Drosophila melanogaster: one gene and its partners. The protein of the gene in region 2 interacts with the protein of the main gene of each other region in a pairwise test. Each region holds a gene or a part of one and is shown on either strand. Other genes may lie near its edges.

What was found.
Region 1: the proteins of Traf-like (region 2) and nopo interact in a two-hybrid assay, tested with the Drosophila melanogaster proteins (2 studies listed by BioGRID).
Region 3: the proteins of Traf-like (region 2) and sowah interact in a two-hybrid assay, tested with the Drosophila melanogaster proteins (2 studies listed by BioGRID).

What each region holds. Positions count from the first base shown.
Region 1 is NT_033778.4:18,177,716-18,184,726, reverse strand, and holds nopo (no poles), read right to left. Parts: upstream 4,111-7,011; 5' UTR 4,006-4,110; coding exon 3,890-4,005; intron 3,831-3,889; coding exon 3,615-3,830; intron 3,557-3,614; coding exon 3,203-3,556; intron 3,143-3,202; coding exon 3,085-3,142; intron 3,030-3,084; coding exon 2,910-3,029; intron 2,854-2,909; coding exon 2,650-2,853; intron 2,588-2,649; coding exon 2,348-2,587; 3' UTR 2,208-2,347; downstream 1-2,207. Other genes in the region: CG5721 (uncharacterized protein), read left to right, coding at 737-853, 909-2,186; CG5726 (uncharacterized protein), read left to right, coding at 4,895-5,256, 6,194-7,011.
Region 2 is NC_004354.4:16,412,299-16,420,171, reverse strand, and holds Traf-like (TNF-receptor-associated factor-like), read right to left. Parts: upstream 5,127-7,873; 5' UTR 4,749-5,126; coding exon 4,587-4,748; coding exon of another isoform or gene 4,516-4,586; coding exon 4,087-4,515; intron 4,018-4,086; coding exon 3,609-4,017; intron 3,554-3,608; coding exon 3,438-3,553; intron 3,378-3,437; coding exon 3,069-3,377; 3' UTR 2,587-3,068; downstream 1-2,586. Other genes in the region: AnxB11 (annexin B11), read left to right, coding at 111-122, 402-968, 1,123-1,504, 1,583-1,812, 1,882-2,091, 2,148-2,216, 2,277-2,342; CG4301 (uncharacterized protein), read right to left, coding at 5,872-6,085, 6,152-6,478, 6,543-7,356, 7,440-7,873.
Region 3 is NT_037436.4:12,567,829-12,575,566, forward strand, and holds the start of sowah (sosondowah), read right to left. Parts: upstream 4,715-7,738; 5' UTR 4,611-4,714; coding exon 4,484-4,610; intron 4,373-4,483; coding exon 3,711-4,372; intron 1-3,710.

The DNA of each region.
Region 1 (7,011 bases), on a different chromosome or scaffold from region 2:
TCGAGGTGCTTTTCTTTTGGATGTGCATGCATTAGTGTCCCGCTCTCTCAATCTCTCTATTTAAATATCTAAGTATCTTTCCTTTCTATCAAAAAGTTGAAGTTACACGGTGCACCAAGTGTAGATAAAATATACAACATAAAATTCGTCTTAATTTTAAATTCGCTTCAAAATATAATAATTAAATCACTTCCTTGAAAAAAAGTGGAAGTGCAACTGATGCATCGTGTACAACAACTTTAAACGCTTCAATGGCCAATCGTCTTTTTACATGTAATACACAGTGCAAATCACAAGCATGCGGCCAAAATACAGACTTATGTTAATAAAAAATATGCGAGAAATACATTGTTACCATTCGTTTTCCAACCACAGTGATGGGACATATATAAAGAAACCTAAAATCTTTTCTTTCACTTCTTTAGTTATAAAATAAGGTTATAATTTATTTTTTATCAAATTCGGTGTTAGTATTAATACAACAATTTTTTTGAGTGTTCAATGGTGAGTTTTATTAAACCGTACAACGATATGTATCGAATGTAAATCAGCTGGAAGTATGACCGCCCTGCGAAGTGCGATAGTGTGACCGCAGCCACTAAATTCGAACTGTGCCTGTGTGCCTGCGTGTGGGCGTGTGTGTGTGTGTGGGAAGTTACAGAGAGAACAAAGTAAAATTTGAAAAGTTAAAGCTGCAGCTGCTGAGGGCATAGCCAAAATTGGACGAATCACTGCCATGGCCAAGGTTATATCGCAGGACACCTTCGACGATGTTGTGAAGGAGAACGTTGTGGAGTTCTCGATGACTCCTTCGGAGGCGAAAGAAGAGACCATCAAGCAATTCGAGGCACAGGTAAGTAATGTCGACATAGTCATCCAGTAGATTCACTTTAATGAAATGATTGCAGGGCATCAACCTGGCCAACATTATCAAGGACCTGTCCGTCAATCCGCAAACCGGCCAACCTGTCATCAACGAAACGGTGGACAAGATCAAGGAGCACATTGGCCAAAAACTGGAGGAAACAACGGAGCTGCTGGAACAGCTGGCCACCTTGGATGCTGAGTGCAAAAAGTCGCTAGCCCATAGGGTTCTAGCCGGCAAAAATGGAGCCCACGATGCCCTGATCACCCTGTTGGAGGAGACGCTCTCTGCTGAGTCACCCAACGAATCCGTGTTAAAAAAGTCCTTGGAAGCCATCAACAGCCTGACCCACAAGCAGCCGGATCTGTTTGATGCCGAGGCGATGGCCGTGGTTCTCAAGTTACTGGCCCTCAAAGTGGAGAGTGAAGAAGTCACCCTGTTGACTCTTCAATGGCTGCAGAAGGCCTGCATCATGCATGAAATGAACCGCCAGAATATCATGAATACCTCCGCACTCAAACTCATGAAGCCCCTTTTAGGGAAAGGGAAGGACCGCCTGGTGCGTGAACTGACCGCCGTCTTCCGCTTCCTAGTGCTGGATGATGACATTCGCGTTGAGTTTGGATGCGCCCACGAGCACGCCCGCCAAATAGCAGGCGAGGTGCTCATCACCTTGGTGGAACTTTTGCCGGCCTATCAGGATCCTAATGTTCTGGCTGATCTTCTGCTGACCATTGGAACACTGGCTGTGCGTCAGGAACTCTGTACAGCTATCGACGAGGCTGGTGGACTGAAGTCCGTCTTCGAGATCATGAGTTCGAATTTGGATGAGGTGCGTCTAAATAGAGAGGCCTTAAAGTTGCTACGTGCCCTGGCTGGCCAAGACTCCGTGAAGTCACATATAGTACAGCAGGGCGTGGCTCCTATAATAAAGCAATTGCTAGAGACGCACCAGTCCAATGAAAACATCGTTGCCGCCGCTTTGGCCTGCGTGACTACTCTGACACTCCGAGTGCAGGAACACAGTGCCGCCTTTTTCGATACCGGCATCGCCGAAGTAATCGTGGAGGCTCTTCGCGCCCATCCCAAACACAAGATAGTCCAGCGAAACGGAGCGTGGGCCATCCGCAATATGGTGTCACGGTCGCGGAACCAGTGTGAAACCTGGATCTCCTTCGGCGTTGAGGATCTACTAAATATGGCAATGAAGGAGCACCCCAGTGTGGAGCAGGACATCAAGGCGGCGTTGCGCGACCTCGGCTGTAGTGTCCACTTGCGCGAGGAATGGACGGGCACGGCGGAGAAAAAAATTGCCGCCTAATCGCACACACATATGCCTTTTGTATTTTTATATATTTACTGCTAAATTATTACTATTGCTTAATTCATGCATTGGCTAACTAACAAAATCGGCAATCCTCAATACCAATCGCGTGCTAATACCCAACTGGGGCAGTCTCTTATGATCACATGGCTGTGGACTTATTTGCCCAGGTTAAAGTTGCGCAGCGAGCCGGCTTTAAGACGCTGGTTGACATTCCGGGAAAGGGCGGTCGAGGATCTGATTGTGGAAAGACCCTCTTCCTCGGCGCGCTGCGCAAAGGGGTCAACCTTCTCAGAACCGCCCATTCCATTGTAGACAAAATTTGAGCCCGTCGTGGCCGTCAACGCAGAACTACTTGAACTTCCCAGCAGCAGTCTTGGCTTCTTGAAGATTGAATACTGGGGGAATATACGGAATTTTTAAATGGTTAAGTGGAATTCGGCAAAATTATTGCGTTTACCTTTTCACTGAGATCACTGCTGGTTTTCCGTATGGTTCCGCTGGTCATAGACACACCGCCACCGACTCCCTTGATGGGCGATATTTTAGACTTGGCCAGCCCAATGTTACCCTTAGTATTAAGAAGATGCGCCAACCCGACGCTGCTGGATTTAATGTTGAGATATGGGGAGGTGGATTCTTCGATGCGCTTAATATTCTCCTTCTGTAGGGCAGCAAAATATTAGTAGCTTATATTTTCGTTTATTCGTGTCTACTCACAACTGTAGGGGAAATAGTGGTACGCCTTTCCTCCCTTTTAAGGGCCAAAATGTTGCTGTTCAGACCACAAGAGGCATTTGGTGAGTCCAAGTAAGCGGTCTTGTTCTCAAAAGCTTGTAGCTGAAAAGATAATAGTATGTTTAATCGAAATTGTGTTAAAGAAGGCTCAGCAAACCTTCTCCTGCGCCTGGTAAAGGTCGCTCTCCAGGTGTGAAACACGCTCTTCCAGCTTGCTGCAATCGAATGAGCACATATCAATTATAAAAACCACGTTTGGAATGTTGTGAGCATACCGCTTTAGTTCGATCTCCTTTCGCAGATCATTCTGCACCACCTTCACTACATTCCTGAGCTCCGTCTTTTTGCTCTCGCATTGTCGCAACTCCCTCTTGAGAGTGGACACCCAGTTGGCTAGGACATGTGGATCAGCCTCGTTCTTGAGCAAGCGGTCGGCATCCGCCGAGCCAGCCGCCAGAATAGCCGATATGCCTTCCATACTCTGGATCTGTGATTTCAATGTTTTGTTTTCCTTGCGCAACCCATCAACGACATGGGCATCACTCTTGAGGACGCCAATTTGCTCGACATAGCTGCTGATGAGAAAATCCTTCTTTTGCACCTTCTGCTCCAAACCGGCTATGGTTTTGCTGCAAATGAGAAATGCATCAGTCTGGTACTTAAGGCAATGTGTATACAAAAGCATACAGGCACTTCTTTTGTGTTTCCTTCAGATCCCGAATCTGCTGTTCATCCTTGTTGCGCTCTTTTTCGACCATTTTCATGGACAACATCGCATTGTCCAGCTGCTCCTGCAGTGAACCAACATCGATGTGGCTCACATCCAAGTTGGCCAGATTGAAATAGACCCTAAATATGTTGCGGGTAGTGCACTTATTCCGGCACTGAGGACAGGTCTTTGATCTGCGAAAGATATTTGATTTTATTGTCGGGAATCAGAAATATCCTTATGCGTTGTTTACCGATCGAGCCATTGATTTAGACAGTTGTGGTGGAACATATGACCACAAACTGTGGCAAAAACCTCGTCGGCCTGGCCAAACAATTCGGCGCATATCACGCAGTTTAAGTTCAACATTTTTGGCACAAATAACTACATAAAAATAGTTATTACAAAAGAACAACAAATAAACGCACGCCGAACAGTTTGCGCGCCCAACGAAACACAGCTGACTGATGGCGATTTTACGATGCTCCAATGAGCGGAATTCACCACACCAGTATTTGTCAAGAATCGATTGTAGACAATAACTGTTAGCTGATAGATATTTCCACGACAAACTAATTGCTAACTAACTTGGCTTAAGTCGAAACAACAAATAATGTTTACAAATACGCTTACTCAGCCACTGAAACTAAAATTCATCCTAAATTTTAGAAAGATATGTATGTGTGGATACTTTTTAAACCCTACTTCTTAAGATATACTGTGGATATAAATTTCATATTTTATTCTGCCAATCCATCTTAAATCCAGCTACTTATGCTCCGTACTTTAGCCCCATGGTGGTCTTATCGATAACAGCGGGAGCACTGTGGCGCTATTTACGAAAGCACACCGTGTGCTTTCGATATCGCGACAATGCTATCTAGAGGTGGAGAAACATCGATGTTTTAAAGAACACAACACATCGATGTTTTTCCACCTCTTTTAAAAGTCGTCAAATAGCAATAATAAATAGGAATAGTTATAAATTTGTGCATTTAATTTCGTTCGTTATTTGCGTTTCAATCGACCGTGGGTCCCAGTGAGCTAACTGCACCTGCACCCAAAGCGGAAGCTGAGCGAAAAGGTGTTTCATTTGGCGTGCGCATTTCGACACCTTTGTCAACGCTGATTCTTATTTGGTGGACCGACGACTCACACACACGCGCGTACCAATATAACAGACACTGAAGTGTGTGTGGAAGGGACAGACAAACAACCGTGCGATAACAACAACAAACGGCAGTGATCGCGGCGAGAAATGGAAATGGCCAACAACATGGTCAGCAGCAGCAACAGTGGCGGCGGTGGCAGCAGCAACACCACCTCCTACGGCAACAACAGCTACAACAACAGTGCGGTGGACAGTGGTCACAGTTCGCACAGTGGTGTCGGTAGCGGGGGCGGTGGTGAGGGAACGGGAGCGCGCCTCCGGGATGTTTGTACCATCCTGAACACTGGCCCCGCCGCCTATCAAAATCAAACAGGTGGCTATGCCTACGACCACATCATCGCCCTGATGAGGAACCTTGATCTGCAGGACGATGGCATTGTGCTGAACTCCAAGATCAAGACCATCGAAACGGACTTCTGCAACATAGTGCGCGACGAGTCTATGCTTTGGTATGTGTGCCGATCTCTACCGTTTGGTTGGTTCGCTCATTGATGATTAATCATATCATAAGTAGTGTGTTTATTTGCCACCTCTTTTCGCATATACATATGGATGTATGTAAATACCCGGCGTAGGTACAGTGCGGTGCGATAGCATATGGGCAAGGCGAGCTCCCAAGCCCATCAAAGCCAGCCATGTGATAACAAGACTTAATGCATGCAGTACATATCTGCCTGGCGAAGACCGATCCTTATTGTAATATTTATGACATTCCATTACAAGTAGCATGAGTAATTCGTTAAATTTGGGAGCTTGTGGCGTTCGCCCATAGGTTACAGCATTCTATAAGTTATTCCAATAATGAAATGCTTGAAATGCAGAAACCGAATTACTAATCAAGTTCAAACGTTAATTTGTTTTTACGCGTTCAAGAACCCTTGGGTTCTTAAAGTGCAACTTTGTAAACTTTTCTTCTTACTTCATTATTTTTAGGTTCGAAAAAGTTTTTGCGACCTTCTACATATACATTTCAATTTTATTAAATGTCTAAAAATCGATTTATAAATCTGAAAAGCACTGTATTTGTGTATATGTGTTCGTGCACGAGTTCGTTGTTTGCGACCAGGTTGCTCGAACGTCAGCGTGTCTTGAAAATTTACAACTTTTCATACAAATAAAGACGGGCAGAGAGACATCGGCGCCATCGAATCATTTCAAAGTGAACATTTTTCCCTCCGATTCTCTCAGGCTCATGCTCGAGTTAATTGCTGAACAAATAGTTCGCAGCTTGGGCTTATCAAACAATGCTGCTATGCGTTATATCAGTGGGGGTGTTAAACACAGTTGTAGTGCAAACTTTAACATTATGAAGTAGTAGTAGACTTGATTATTATAACATACTAATAAATGAAAAGTAAATAAACTAATTGTATTTGCAATTTTCAGTGAGTCAATGGAGTACCTGAACGACAAGGCGCTTAGCGATGGTGATACGGCGCTAAAGTTCGCCCTGCTCTTCTCATCGAGAAATTTCGACGCACTGGCCATGAAAGAGACGAAGGTGCGCAGCGCCATGCTCAAGATTTTGGAGACAAACTTCCTCAACGCGGACGCATATCGGTTGCACGACAAGAACCGACTGTACAACTCGATCACGCTGCTGGGTGAATATTATCACAGGGTAAGGCTGGCGGATAATACCCCGATCACCATTTTGGGTGAGTCCCTGCTGGACTTGCTTACCCGCGAGCTCAATGACACGTCGGTGGTGCTGGGCACTCGGATTGCCCGCCTGGTGCTGTCACAGATCACACTGAATGGGGAGATCATGCGCAAGCGGCATAAGGTCGAGATTGATTTACTGCTCTTCCACGTTCGCCGGCATTTGATCATGCAGCCCGCGCTGACCGCTAAGGTGAAGGCCATGCTACTGATGGTGCTGGACCTCTTTTACAGCCACTTTAAGCATATCGGCCACGACCTGGAGACAATGTACACCAACTTCTTGGTGGTGGAAGATGGCGAAGAGGATGGGGTCAACAATAATGGCTCCGGCCCCCAGGATCTCGCCGAAGATGGCCGCTCACAGCAGCTTCAGCATCAACAGTCAGAGAACGGCAGCAGCGCCAACACGTCCGGCCAGGATCAGGATACCTTTGAACCGCGGCCGTCGGCAAAGAAGTGGAGCGAGCAGGTGTGCGAGGATTCCTTTTGTGAAACTGGCTACGGTGAGGCGGATCAGGGCGACGATAGATACTCCGAAT
Region 2 (7,873 bases):
GTGAATATTTTCAATTTAACGAAACGCATAATTCCTATTTTGCTCTTTTCCAGTACTGAATCTCAATCACCGGAAATTATCCACAGAATCTCCATAGAACCTCCCTCAAAATGTATCCCTTCGTAAGTTTTGAATGCACATCCTGTAGATTTTAGTTATAAAAGTATCAGCATTAATAAGTGCCTTGGTTCTTAAATATCATAACATATTCACAATATATTTTATAAATAAGTTTGGTATAACATATTTTTTTGGGTATAAAACTATAATAATTTATTCGGGTGAGTTCTTTCGTTTAGTCTGATTCATTTTTCTAAGAGATAGATGTCATTCTTGTGAGCTCTGTGTTTAATTCAGCGCCATGGAGTCAACTTGAATTGTACATTTTCTGACTTTTATAGGGTTCTGGAATGCCATCGCACCCCCCTACCTCCACTAACCACCACGAGCCGCCACGGGCGCCCTTTGGAGCTGGTTGGGTGCCACCGATGCAGCAAAACTCGCCATACCCACCACCCTCCCAGCCACACCCACACTCACAGCCATCGTCCCAAATGCATCCTCAGCAGCATCAGCAATATCCAGGCGGAGCTCCAGCTCCTTATCCACCAATGTCGGCACCGTACCCGTCCGCCGCCCCATCCTATCCACCATATCCCACCTCGAATCCTTACCCGGCACAATACGCTCCTCCAGCGCACAATCATTATCAGCAGCCATCGGTGTCGAACAGTCCCTATCCCGCGGATCGTGGATACACACCGGCCATGACAGCCGGATATGATGCGGGCTATGGCTACGGAAACGGACAAGGACATGGACAAGGACATGGACATGGGCAAGGACATGGGCACGGACATGGGCAAGGACATGAATATGGGCATGGATATGGGCAGGGCTATGGGCATGGACAGGGGCATGGGAATGGTCAGGGGCACGCGCATCGGTCACTCCCAGCTCACAGAGAGGTTGGTCATCAAATTTGGGGACTCACGTCCACACTAACCGCACTTCCCCATCCTCAGTCGAATTTGTTCCAGGGCGGGTCTAAAACAATACATGTTCATCATGCCCATCAGATCTGAGCTCGTTTTCAGTGACTGTTTTGACTGTTCTTTTCAGGGAACTCCCACGGTGGTGCCTGCCGCAAACTTCGATGCCGTCAAGGATGCTCACGACTTGCGCAAGGCCATGAAGGGCTTTGGAACAGATGAGGACGCTCTGATTAACATCATCTGTCGGCGATCCAACGAGCAGCGCCAGGAGATCCAGCGCCAGTTCAAGACGCACTTCGGCAAGGACCTCATCGAGGACATCAAGTCGGAGACGAGCGGCAACTTTGAGAAACTCCTCGTCGGCCTGCTGCGTCCCATCGTGGACTACTACTGCGCCGAGCTAAACGATGCCATGGCTGGCCTGGGCACCGACGAGGAGGTCCTCATCGAGATCCTCTGCACGCTGTCCAACATGGAGATCAATACGATCAAAAACCAGTACTTACGATGTAGGTCGTAATCTATTTGGCTTAGCCTTTTCTCTTTGTTCTAATATGGATTTTGTTTCTGCCAATCGTGTATATTAGTGTACGGCGCCCATTTGGAGTCTGAACTAAAGTCGGAGACGTCGGGCAACTTTAAGCGGCTGCTTACCTCCTTGTGCACGGCGGCGCGGGATGAGAGTGGTCGCGTGGATCCCGTGGCGGCCAAGAACGATGCTAGGGAGCTACTGAAAGCCGGCGAACTGCGCGTCGGCACCGATGAGAGCATGTTCAACATGATCCTCTGCCAGAGGAACTATCAGCAATTGAAACTGGTATGCTGCTTGATACTTGAGTACTTGTGTGTACAATTGAAACTCCAACATAATCATACCTAACCGCAGATATTCCAAGAGTACGAGGGCATGACTGGCCACTCGCTGGAGAAGGCGATCAAGAAGGAGTTCTCCGGCGATGTGATGGAGGGCCTGATTGCCATCTACAGGTGCGTCACCAACAAGGCCGAATACTTCGCTTCGCGCCTGCACAAGGCGATGGCCGGAATTGGCACCAATGACACCCAGTTGATCCGTGTGATCATCACGCGCAGCGAGGTAAGTACATCTATATATAATATCATTCAACCCTAAAATGTTGCAACGTTTTTCAGATTGATATGACGGACATTAAGGTAGCGTTCGAACGTCTGTACGGCAAGTCCCTCAAGAGCTGGATCAAGGTAAGATATATATATCTATCTATATCTATATTCTATAATCATATAAAATCCTACTTGCAGGGCGATACTTCGGGCCACTACAAGCACGCCCTTTATGCCCTGGTGGGTGAACAGCGCTCCTCTTAAGAATCTCCGCATATACATATATATGTATTATTCAAACCAAATCCGACGTGAAATCAATTATTCGAATATGTATTATCTCTTCTATGTATTCGTTCATTTAAATGCATACAACATACAAGAACACGCCAACGAAGCCAGACAATTATGATCCACAACGTAGACTATAAGTGCACACAAATAATACCTGAACGGGATCAGACATTTGATACCTCTTTCAAAGAAATGAACATGGGAACCGACAGTTGACAAGTGTTGAAGTTGTATTTTATTAAAAGACCTTTGTATTTAAATGCGTTCGTAAAGACAAATAATATGGAAGTTCCTCTCAAAAATCGCTTGTTAATTTGCTCGAAATGAAAAACCAAAAAATGAAAGAGTTGCTTATATCTTGACAAAGTGACCAGGGAAATGTTGCAATAAAAGCTATGCTTTCTAACTACCGACTTCGTCTCGACAGTGCCTCAATGTGACTATTGCCTAATTTGAAAAAAAGCATTTAAAACTGCAATGACATTTAAAACTACAATATACGCATATTGAAACGATGAATCGATTCGTATGCACTTATACACTATATATGTACACATACTCGTGTTTGTAAGCGGGTTTTTAACTTCCAGTTCGCTCTCAATGGAATAAATTATGTTTTATGTATGTGACAATCCGCAATTGGATTTTTTTTTTCTTATCGCTCCTGGTGGGTGGGATAGCGATGCTGCATGGGTTTTATTTTAGAACTCGAACCTCGATGAACATGGAATCGTTGCGAAGATAGTTGCGACTGGTGATTACCTTGTGTGGTATATGGAAGTACTGGTTGCTTTGGATAAAATCATCGCTCTTCTTGCGCACAAAGATGGTCTTCACATAATCCTCGGCATCTGCCACATTCGTGCACTGATCCCGGATGATGATCTCGGCCTGAAGGCGGCATGGCCAGGCCAGAAGGGGATCGTACTCTCCGGATAGAACGTTCAAGCAGGCGATCATGTTCCTGCCCTTCCAGGTGCCCTTGCCATTCAAGTATATATCCAGCTAGTAATGGGGTATACATATATAAATGGCATATCCAACCAAGATCCAACCTCAACTCACCCGTAGAGCATAGCCAAAGGCTTTATTGGAGAACATGGCGCTATGGAGGATGGTGTCGTACTGCTTGGACTCTTCCAGTTTTTTCGAGTAATCCTTGATGCGCCAAATCAAGTGTCCTGTACGACCAGATATTATATATTTAAATTACTATATTGAACCAACAATATGTACCCCTTATATTCTGGACACTGGCAATCCGCTGCTGCATGGCCATTTGGGTCTCCAAATCCGATATATTCTGCATGGTCTGGTGAAGTGCTCGATCCAATTTATCGCAACGTTCCTCCGTTTCGCACACAATGTTCTTCACATTCTTCACCTCATAGTCCAATGTGGCCTGCTTTGACGTCACATAGTCACTGTTGCCCAGCTTTGTTTTGATGTCCTCATTGATCTGCTGCAGAAACTCCTCGATCTGAAAGAACTTCTCCCTGTTGAGCCGCTCGTTCTCAAAGATCAGCTCCTCCAGCTTTAGGATATTGTCGTTTAGCTGATTCTGGTGATAGGTCACGTCCGCCGAGAGCTGATTGACCAGCTTTTGGGCCTCATCCAGCCTGGACTCCACTTGCTCTTTCAAGGACTTCGACGGAGATATGCACATTAAAGATAGATAGTATATATATATTTAAATAAAGTAGCATTAACTAACCTGTGTGATATCACAGCAGTACTGGACATCCAGCTGGTTCTGTTCGATGGCGAATGCCTTCCGATTGGTTTCCTCCTCCATCTGGCGACGCAGATCGTCCATTGCCTTCTCGGTTTCGCGGGTCCAGTCCTCGACGACCTGGTTCTGCTTCCGTATGTTGCCCACATCGGTAATGAGATGCAAACGCTGTCGTATCTCCTCGTTGAGAACGGACCGAATGGTGCCCACGTCCTGTTCAATGACCAGGAGACGCTGATCCGACTGCCTATCCAGGCGATCCATGCTGACACTCATGCGTTGCTGATTGCTCAGATTGTGCTGGTTGCGTGGACACTCCTTCAGATGGGATCGCATACGGATGCGTGGAATGAAGGCCTGACAGCCGTTGGGACACTCCTCCAGCACCTGGCCGCAGTGGATCAGGTGTTCCTGCAGTCGCATCCAAAGAGGAGTAATGTAATAGTAATCAAAGGTGAACTGAAAAGTTGGACGATTATAACCGTGAATGTCTGGGCATCGAACCATTCGTTGCAGAAGAGGCACGACGACTTCTCATACTTGACTATGGTCGTCGATTTGGGCTGATTCTGATTCTCATTCTGATTCTGATACTGATTCTGCTCGGTTAGATCCTTTCTCGACGACGACTTGGTCAGTGACATTATATTGATTAAAGGAAAGCAAATTCGATTGAAACTTTGGATCAGCAAATTCTCTGGCGCTGCGAGCACCGCCCTATGCACACTAAACTCAGCCAAAAATGATTAAGAATTTCCTTGGGCATAGTCATACGCGGCGCACACAGACATGGTTTAGATATAGCTTTGCACATGTGTTAGCATTAGGGCGTCCATGGGAATCTATACGACAACCTCGAACTGATAGCACTGCCATTTGGTGCGATTACCACTATTTCGAAATGCGAGAGCAACCAACGAATCGTATTGACCACTAACTTGGCGAACTACGACCAGGAAAACACAGCCACCGAGAATCCACTAAAATCGTAACCGTCACCAGATCTTCCAGCGACTATATGGCCACATATGTACCTGCAAAATGTTCATATCTCTAGCTCCCCTTGTACAAACATATTCGGAATGCGAGTGGAGATAACATTATCAATGAAAAACGGGCTTCACAATCAAAACTTTGTCCATTGCCTCGGCAATGCAAATGGTAACGACGCCATCAACTAGATAACAATGTGGTGGGCGGCAGTGATCGTGGGCGTGGCAGTGGGTATGGCCGAACCAACAGGTGCCCTACGTACACATATGTGGATCGGGATTGAAGTACATTTACTGACTCGCCGCCCTACTTTATGGTATCAAAAGTGGGGCAACGGCTAAACTGTGATAAAAACGGGCTATATACTTTCGTATATATTTTTAAACAATATCCGATGTAGGAAAAATATTAAATAAATCCTTTATTAATTAGATGTTTGTATCGTGTAGCTGTATTGAAACCCAGCATTTTCGTAAACGAACCATTTTTCCAAGTGTAGTTGCACTTGCTCTCAATAAGTCGCCGAGATTATGATAAAAATGTTATCAGCCTAAAATGTCGTACTTCCCAGTTGATTGCGAGTGTTAGCATACGATTTCAAGGTTCTCCATTTGGGAAGTTGAGATACTTTCCTACCTCTAAGGTGGTGGTCAGAAATCAAATCTATTGTTCAAACGTTTAACAAAAATTTGTTTATCTAACAAAAAAAAAAAAAATTGTATACATGAGGAAATAAATAAATTAGGGGTATAAAAACTATAGCCTAATCGACGATTACAAGTATGTGGACTCAAACTTCTCGCGCATCTTAAGTTTCCGTTGTTTTCCGGGAAAAATGCTGAAACTCTTTATGTTGAGCGCCCTCTGGAGCATTCGGATGGTATAGTCGGGTACCAGGCAGGCCACACAGGTCACTATGATCCACAGCCAGACTGGCAGTGAGGCCAACAGATTGTTGTAGGCCCAGTAGATGTCGGTGTCGTAGTCCCTGCAAATAATACATATACATATTAGTTTAAACCTTAAATGGATACATTCGTAGCCATGAACTCACAGATTGATAACGTTGTAGATAACCGTTGTGACTACAAAGCCCAAAATGGAAATGATAATGGTGAATATATACCAAAAGGACAGATACATTGACTCGAGCCAGAGCTTAAGGTTCACGACCACCACCACCGTCCACATGAGGAGGGTGCCGAAGCAGGAGAAGGCCACCGTCTGTCCGTAGTTCAGGAGAACGTTGTTGTAGTAGAAGAAGCAGAAGGCGAAGTAGAATATGATGACACTGTGGTAGATCGCAAATAGGACCCACATCAGGAAGTACGGCCAGTGGAGCTGCTTGTTGTCCGTGTTCTTCTTGTAAAGCTGTGGCGTTCTGTTCAAGTTGCATTTTTAGTAACATCAACATTATACATATAAACGATTGAACCCACTGTTACCTCATCAACTTCTCCTCGGTGTATGGCTTCTCGGAGATAGCTATGAACAAAATGGGCAGCGAGGTGTATATCACATTGTACAAGGTAAGGAATAGCGAATCGTAGACGGAGGATGAGGAGAACAGCGTGTGAAACTGGAACAGGAACATGATGCCCATAAAGACGATGTTCTTGTAGAAGAAGTACAGCACCAGCAGGGACAGTCGGACACTGTGATAGTGTCCATGGACGAGAAGCAATCTCTTGAGCATGCAAAACTTGGCGAAGGCAAAATCGGCGCATCGTGCCGCCTGCCTGCCCTCGCGTCCCATGATGCCGATGCCCACGTGAGCCTCCTGGATCATCGACACATCATTGGCGCCATCGCCAATGGAGGCCGTGTTGTAGTTCTCATTGGATGACTTGATCAATGACACCACTTCGCTTTTCTGCAGCGGACTAAGGCGGCAGCACAGAACGGCCGTACACTTGACAGCCACATCCCGGAACTCCGAGCTGGCCTCTGCCAGGGCCACGCCCAAGCTCTTGCCGTCAATGAGAAGAGCGCACTCCTGGCCAATACCGAAGATGATCTCACGATCAAGTGCGTTCAGATGCAGGAGCATCTCCTCTCTATTCTTGCACTCCATAATGAAGTACTTCTTGGCATCGGGTGGAATGTGTCCGCAGGACAGGGCTATATTCAGGGCTGTCTCCACCTTATCGCCCGTTAGCACCCAGATTTTAATGCCAGCCGCCTGCAGAGATACCAACGTATCGGCCACGTCGTCCTGCAGGGCATCCTCCACAGCTGTTGCACCGAGCAAATCAAGATCTGTGCAAAGAACAGAAATGCATAAGTTGTTGGCGCCCAACGTGGGGCACCATGGACTTATGTGGAATGTCACTAGTACTCACTGCTTTCAATTTTAGCATAACACTCCTCGCTGAGCTGCTTTCGATTCTCAAGTGAGCTGTTCGCCTGTGCCAGCTCCACAAGGAAGTCCTGGTACTCCTCCTCGCTAATTAGCCTCCTGGCAATAGCCAATGTACGTAATCCTAGTCGTGCGAAATCACTTATATGAGCGTCCGTCTTTGTGACCAGCTCGGCTGAACTGTTGGCGCACAGTGGAAAGACATAGCTCTCGGCACCCTTTGTGTAGATCCACTTCTTGCCATCCGTATCCCGGACAATCACGCTCATGCGCTTGCGATCCGACGTAAACTCCAGGACATGGAGGCGCTGGAAGGTCTCTTCCCTGGGCTTGGCGAACGGTCGCTTGTAGTCCATGTGGGGCGGGACGATGCGCACGCGCAGCGTTTCGTCATCGTCTCCGGTGTAGACCATGCCC
Region 3 (7,738 bases), on a different chromosome or scaffold from region 2:
GCTTTTTTGTCCAGTACGAGTAGGACTAGTGGGAGTGGCTGGAACTTCGGCGGTGAACGGGTGGATATTGTTGCTGTTGTAAATTTAACCGCTTCGGGACACAGTCCGTTGTTGTTTAACAGCAATAACAACTTTTGGTTTGTTTCCTTACATTTTTAATTGGGTCCTTTGTGGCTGGCATGACCGTGATGAGAATAGCTTTGCCTAACTAATTTCTATTGCTGCTTATTGGCTATGTTAACATGTTTCACCAACTTGTTTTATGCAAAAGGGTTCGTTTCGCCACCGACCCAGCCACGCCCCCCATTTCGATGTGGGTCGCCTGACAGTTTTATATGCACTGTGGGACTACGAAGGTGGCCTCCTATTTTTAATAAGAATATATATGCGGTCTGTTTGATGCTGCATGCGGACTTTTGGGCAGGAACTTTGCTTTGGGGCCATATTTGCGCTGCCAGGGGTTTTAAATTAGATTCACAAAACAACGGACTGAGTTTTCATTAGTTTTTGTTTGATAGTTGAAAGCTTTAGCATCTTAATTACTATTTTATGAAAGATACTTTCCCTTAGGTGATTGTTTGATTTGTTAAAAATTGTAATATTCGCTTTTTTCAACTCTTGCCAGACAAACCGAGGCAATCTTAAGTTAAAAATATATTTTGGCAATTCTTTGAATTTCCAACATCGCTACTTCAGTTAACATCGTGTTGTTAACTTTTACTTTTAGATATGAAGGTTTAGCTGGAATTCATGATAACTTTGCTCTTGAACCGAAAAATTTATGTAGTTTCCCGTTAACCTTCGAAAATTTCATCAATCAAAAAGAAAAAAAAAAATCCCAAGCTATGATACTTCTATCAATATTAGTTATTTAACGAAAAAAAAATCCCATTTTAAATCAGCTTGTTATTTTGGGGCGTAAATTAATCAACTCACAACGGTGCTGAGTGAGCGTACAAAATGCAAAATCATCGGGCTAATTAAAAACGATCGAAACGAATTTAATTGATCAGCTAGCTGGGGATGGATACAGATTCCATAGTTACGGTTGCAACGCCAAAAATTTCACGGTACACCATGATGAATCCACTTCACTTGCTCCCCAGTTTTTTTTTCGATCCCATGAATCCCATGAACTAGAATGCCGCCTTCGAAACTCCTTGTGAAGATGATGAGCCACTTTCTTTTCGTCTAGCGATGATTAGTTATTTTCTCTGATGAATAACAGGAAAAAAAAGGGGCATCCATCAAAACCTATCTCAATATTGTTTACAACTGAATTTTAATAATTGCGTGAAGACGGTTGGCGCCATCAAAAATGACGGTGTGTCTTGTTAGCGAATCAATTTGTTAACAAGATGTAAGCGCTTATAACGCCACAGATACTTTCTTTATTCTCAGTGCATCAAATGGGAGCTATCAACCCGATCTGTACGATATGATAGTGAATGATAGCCCTTCGTTTTAAACTCTACTCATGTTGCAGACAAATTAGTAATGACTGGCGAAAAGATGAGCGAAATTCAAGTGAATTCATTCATTCAAATGAATGAATATAATTTCGATGATAAGTAATAGTAAATTCATTCAACGAAATTTAGACAACGCTGGTTATTTTAATGTTTAAGCCTTGTTAGCGAGAATTTCCCCATAGCCTCCATTTAATTTCGACTTTATATTGATATTTTTAATTTGTCTGCGTAAATCCGGAAACATGAAATACGTGAGAAATTCAAAGTTGCGGCAGTGATGCTTTGAAACAGATTTCCGATATAAGGACTAGTTTGATTCTACCATGTCCGAGTGTCTGTACAAATAGGCACTTAAGTTCGCTTCCCGATGTTTTAGTGGGATTTTATAGCATCTGACGTGCCGTTGACAATCCCACTTTGATGTACATCCACTGCTGCGGAGCATCTTGCTCTAAACATGATACAATAGATTGGAATGGAATGGGATACGGATGCGGATGGGACCATCCGTCTCGCAGACAGACTCCGATGATTTATGCACTGGGGATATTCGTTTTCAACTCTAAATTGCGTGATTGACGGGCCTAAGTGGATGACAGTTGTTTGACAACTCGGCCCAATTGCACTACTATAGCTTGTAACATTAACTAAGGAACGATTTTTCCGTAACGCTTGACAAATTCCACTGCCACATGCTCACCCCGAGATTGATATTTTTTCTAAATTAGAATCTCGAAATGGACACGCTACAAATTATATGTATGTATGTGTATTTCGAGTTGATTTTGTTGAAGTGCTAAAGGTTTCCATTTCCAATTTACATCAATTATAGTCATAGGATGTGGAAATGGTTCGGTTTTTATGAGAAACAGCTAAATTCCTCAGTTTTCAAGTTTCAATTTCAATTTAACTACTTAGATGTACTATCAAAAATTTCATCTGATTCCAGATTTTTCTGAGTGTTTGCATACCATTTGCTGGCCGCAAAATTTCTCACGTAACTCATACTTGGCATGTCCTACGATGTGCTTGTACACATAATAGGCTTTTGGGGCATCAAGAAAATAAAGAAATGAAAATGCGAGGGGTGTGAAGGGAGGGGGGTGGGTTTGCTGAACAGCTTGCAAAGTGTCGTCATGGCCAGTTGATGGAACAAAGTTACTAAACACATCGCACTCGGGCGGGAATCGAATTCGGAATCGGAGTACATGTGTCCGCACATGTACGTACACATGTCGGGCATCAGCTCGCCAGTTCTCCAGCTCACCAGCTCACCAGTTCGCCAGTTCTCCAGCTCACCAGCTCTTGAATGCGCGGCGGCGACAAAGCCGGGACAGAAAAAGTGGACAGGAAGGCGAACGGAACGATGCAGGCGCATGTATGTAGTTTTATGAGACTTACATTTATATTGTCCACTAATAAAATTAATGGATTTATTCAATTCGGCCTGTGCTGGTGGCAATTCGTGACATGGCTCTGGGAACTGACAGACAGTTGGGTGACCGACCAACCGACCGGCTTAGTTTGAGCCAGCCACTCTGCCACTCTGACATTCTGGCCATCTAGCATTCCGCCAGCAGTTCCACTTGAGGTGGCCCAAAGCCTGGGACAGCCACTGATGCATTGACAATAATTGCTCGGGGTTTCCAGGGCCAGCAGATCTAATCTGACCCTGATTTGTAGCGGAATATCAGCCTGTTTCTTTGTCATATACAGTGATGGGAAAGCAAATATTTTTTTTTTAATCCCATTATACAGTGTATATACGCTAAGAACTACTTTAAGTTGCCAGATATATATGAAATTATGAAGGTCATCCTTATCACTAAACGAAGAATTCGATGTAAATAATAGAAATCGTTCCTCTTTAGTTTAAACAAAGGCGTGAGTGAGATTATAGAACATTAACAAATATGATTCAACAAAGTTGATTACAGTGTGTAGTCTATGATGGATTGAAAAAAGCAGCTGGTTAAGTGGAACAACGTCTTCAGATATTTTTGCCACAGTGGACAGCTCATATAAAAACCTTCATAGCTCTGTGATAATTAATCACAACTAAGCCGTGCAAAAAACGTCGCATATTTGAATTGTCTTGTAGCGAATCTTCCCACTGACGCACAGGAAATGGAACGCATTGGAACAAAGCTGGGAGGGAAGGGCCCGAAAGACACCCGCACCCGAGCCGAGCCCGCATGATGGCTAATGCCCTGGCTTAACCGGTTCTGTGGCACTCACCTTCTCTGGCTTCTTCTTAGCTGGCGGCGATATGATTTTAGCCTCTTCTTCAGACGCCATCCGATTAAATTTGCGCGTGGCCTCCTTCACGCTGATGGGATTCTCGGCCACATCGCCTACGGCGGCGGGAGCTGTGGGATCAGCCATCTCCGGCTTTTCAATGGAAGTGCTGGACGCCGAGGAGGCCTCCGAGGAGAAGGAGAAACGTGGTATGTTCTCCTTGTTGTCGATCACATCGATGGAATTCGATCGAGACGTTTTCTCCGGCTTCTCCTGCTGATCCAGATCCTCGGACTTGACCGACGTTCGCCTCTCCAAGCGTGCTGGCTCAATGCGCTTTATGGCAGCCGTGAATTCGTCCACGCACTCCTGGTAATTCTCCTGGTGCTCCTTGGCAATGGAAACGGCTGGCGGAGAGGTGACCATGGGCGGCGGTTTATATGGCGGTGGCTGCCTCATGGGCGAGTCAAAGTTAAGAGATGCGCCGCCGGGACTTGAGGGCTCCGGAATACCAGATGCGGCGGCCACCGCGCGCTCCACAACCTCATCCGTGGGGCATTCGTTTACGTATTTCTTGCGCAATATCAAAAACTTCTGATTGTTCTCGTTCTTGATGGTGGACAGCAGTGTGACATAGGTCTTGAATCGCTTGCGAGCCTCATCTGCAATTAATCATTGGGAACATCCATGTGAAAACCAAGTCAATATGGGTTTTCTTGGCCATTCAACAGGTCCCAAATCCCAAATTCGAAAGACAAACACAAATGACTCACTTTGCGACTGCGGGTGAGTTAGGAATTTCTTGAAGTGCTTCACCAAGGCGTGATTTGTCACCTTGCACTCGTTTGCCAACATGTAATTACGGATCTCCGCAACGGATAACTCCTTCGGTAGCTCCATTGCACTTTAAATCTCACTTTAAAACACTTTTAAACGCGAAATAAGTAAAAAATAAACACAACAAACAAAAACATTTGACCAGGGCACTGTGCACACTGCGAATGTTGCAGCCCTCATGCTTCGCGGAAAAAAGCTCGCTGATTTCGCTAGCTGACAGAAGGCTGGTTGGCGTGTAACTCATAACATGGAATGATTTTTCGAGTTTTAATAATTTTAAAAACAATACATTAAAGCAAGGAAACAAATATATACTTTTCGCACTTCAAATTACATAATAAAAACTATTGATTAAACACTTTTACTTGATTTAGGTAAATAACAATTACTTTCGATACCGTTCAGCATGCAAATCTCATTTAATCTCACCATATATGAAGTGATTCATATAAATATATATGATAAAATAAAAATGATAAAAATAAAAAAGTTAAAAAAAGAAATTGGGACAATTTATGCCCGCGAAATACTTTTTTATTTCTTCTAAAACATTTTCAAGCCGTAGCCGTAGGTGAGTTAAAAAACACTTTTTCGAAATGAGTAATATAATTTAAACCAATGAGTTTGCTTTGGTGTGCCAAATATTATGATAAATGTTTTTAAACCAAGTACGAAAAGGTAAACGAAAGGCTCGTAATCAATGTTGAATTCCCTTCGGCATGCGAACTTGTAAATCAGACAGTGGTAGTTAATTTGCATAAAATTTAACTTCAGTTGAATCCATCTGGCTCGAAGTATCTTCCGCATGCAAAGAATTATTAAAACAGTTCCGAATTAATTCCTGAGACACAGCCAAATGTAAATTCAGGGGCGGATCGAGCGGAGTAGGTAGCCCCAATCCCCCATCGAAATCGGGGAGTTAACTATGCAGTACGTGTATGTGGGGCACAAAACGAGTTGATTTCCATCTCAATTGGCCAAAATGGTTTGGCTGGGAGGCTGGGTTCGGGTTTTGGGCCATGTATGTGTGGGCCAATTTGTTGAATCGACGTCATTTATCATCCGCAGAGCAGAGTTCTAGCCGAAAGGAAGCCACAGCCGATGACAGTGACAATGGCGCATCTGGATACACAGATTGGGATTGTATCTTTCACTTGCATTTCAAGATGCAAATGTCAAGACGTGTTGTACTCTGGATATCCTTTCCTTCCCTTTCCGAAACCCGCCCCCTCCCACCACCGTCACAGGATTCAATTCCAGAATGCCTCGATGGCGCAGATGCGCACTAATTTGTATGCCCGCACTCTTTGGATTCGTTATCCGTTGGTTAAATGGCTAAATGTATCTTTGGCAGCCTGCTCGCCTCATAAATGTGCCCAAATAAATTACCCTTATTTATCATTTTATTTGGGGTTCCATATTAAGTCGAGTTTCGCCACGAGCGAGAGTATATAACTCATGTTTGTTTAAGGTATTTGCTTGCTAATTTGCTAAAACACAATAAATGCTACTAAAAAATATTTATGCAAATAAATAAAGATTGAGGTAAAAGGGAATTCAGTTCGGAATTTATTAAAAGATTATGTATTTCTTTACTATCATTCAAATTTCGATGGATTTTTATACAATGCGAATCGAGTTCATATGAATTTATGTTAATAACGCATATTATTTAGTTAAATCATATTATCATATTATCTACAATGTTTCATATTACTCGTATTACTTTTTATTTGTATATATCTATGTTTTGTATCCATATTCAAAACTAAGATAGTAGTAATGATTTCACATAAACTATAATTAGTCCATGCTTGAAAACCCGACATTTCAATGCGATGAAGTTGCGAGTGCTCCTTGGAGGACATTAATTAACTAAAAGCTTTTCCTACTACCAGCAACTCCCAACTCAAAACTCCCAACTAAAGACATTCCAATTGGCGAACACAGGCGAGAAGTGACTACTCAATGCGATTAGAGCAATGTTCGGCATTTGCAGCCGGATTATGCAATTGTCACCGATTGCGTGGCAAAGTGGCGCCTGATAAGCGTTGCAAATGGAATTATGTGCCATATGAAGTGCGAGTAAGTATCTGTATCTGTATCTTCATCCGGAGGCACTCTTTTTCCCATCGAATGCCATTTGGGCACGACCAGAGAACGTCTCTGATCAGGATGCTAGGCAGTTTGGCATTGGTGCGGGCGAGGATTGGCAGCAGCCATCTTGTAGCTGCGCATACTGACTGGTGTATCCCTCAGATACTTTTCATCACCCCCCTCAATATCCACTTCTTGGCTTTTTTTTTTCTACTTTTTTGTACACCGGTTGGCGTCAGTGTTGAATGCAGACAGCGATCGACGGCGAACGATCCTCGATAGTTGCAACTTGCAACTTGCAGCGTTTGTCTTGTCTGGCGGATGGGGCAACTATAGGATGGAATGGTATGGGATGGCTATAAGATGGAATGGGCTGCTGCTGCGGCATAATTGGCAATTGGGAAATGGCAACGGGAGTGGGAATGGGAATGGCTGTGGATTGGAAATAGGATTGGGATTGGGGAATGGGCATAAGAATGGCACTGGGCTCGCTCGACTTTATGACTTTTTTTTTACCAACCGGCAGATACACTCGAAGGATTTAGTTTAAGTCACTGAAATTAATAGGTAAAGAAAATAGAAGCACAAATATTTTTTTAATTTCTTAAAAACTGTTAAGAGTCTAAAGAAAACGAGGTGAACTGAAATCATCCCTTCATTGACTTAGTTTTATGTGATTTTACGAGTACCTCCGTTTTTTTTTCGAGTGTGCCCACTAATGCCGACTGTCTATCTGGCCCCGTCACATCGAAGTCGTGGTCGGATTGAGTTTGTTTCTGTGTTCGTTTTAGCCAAGATTCGCTCATTTCTAACCTGCGATTGGATTGTATTTACTACCCCTGCCCGCCAGTTGAGTTGCTCCTGACCCCTGGAGAGTGGCGCCTAAAATTACACGAGGCCTCATTGGAAGCGGGGCAGCTGTCATCGCGGATTGCCCATGGATCGGAGATTTATTGGGACCGGGGAATAATCATTCGAATTGGGATTGCCACGGCTTGTTGGCTAAGTCAAATGCCGAGCAGATGTCGGCGTTTCCACGCAATCCTGGGCAGCCTTTTAAGCAGTCTGACAGTCATTATTGTGCCATTACCAAA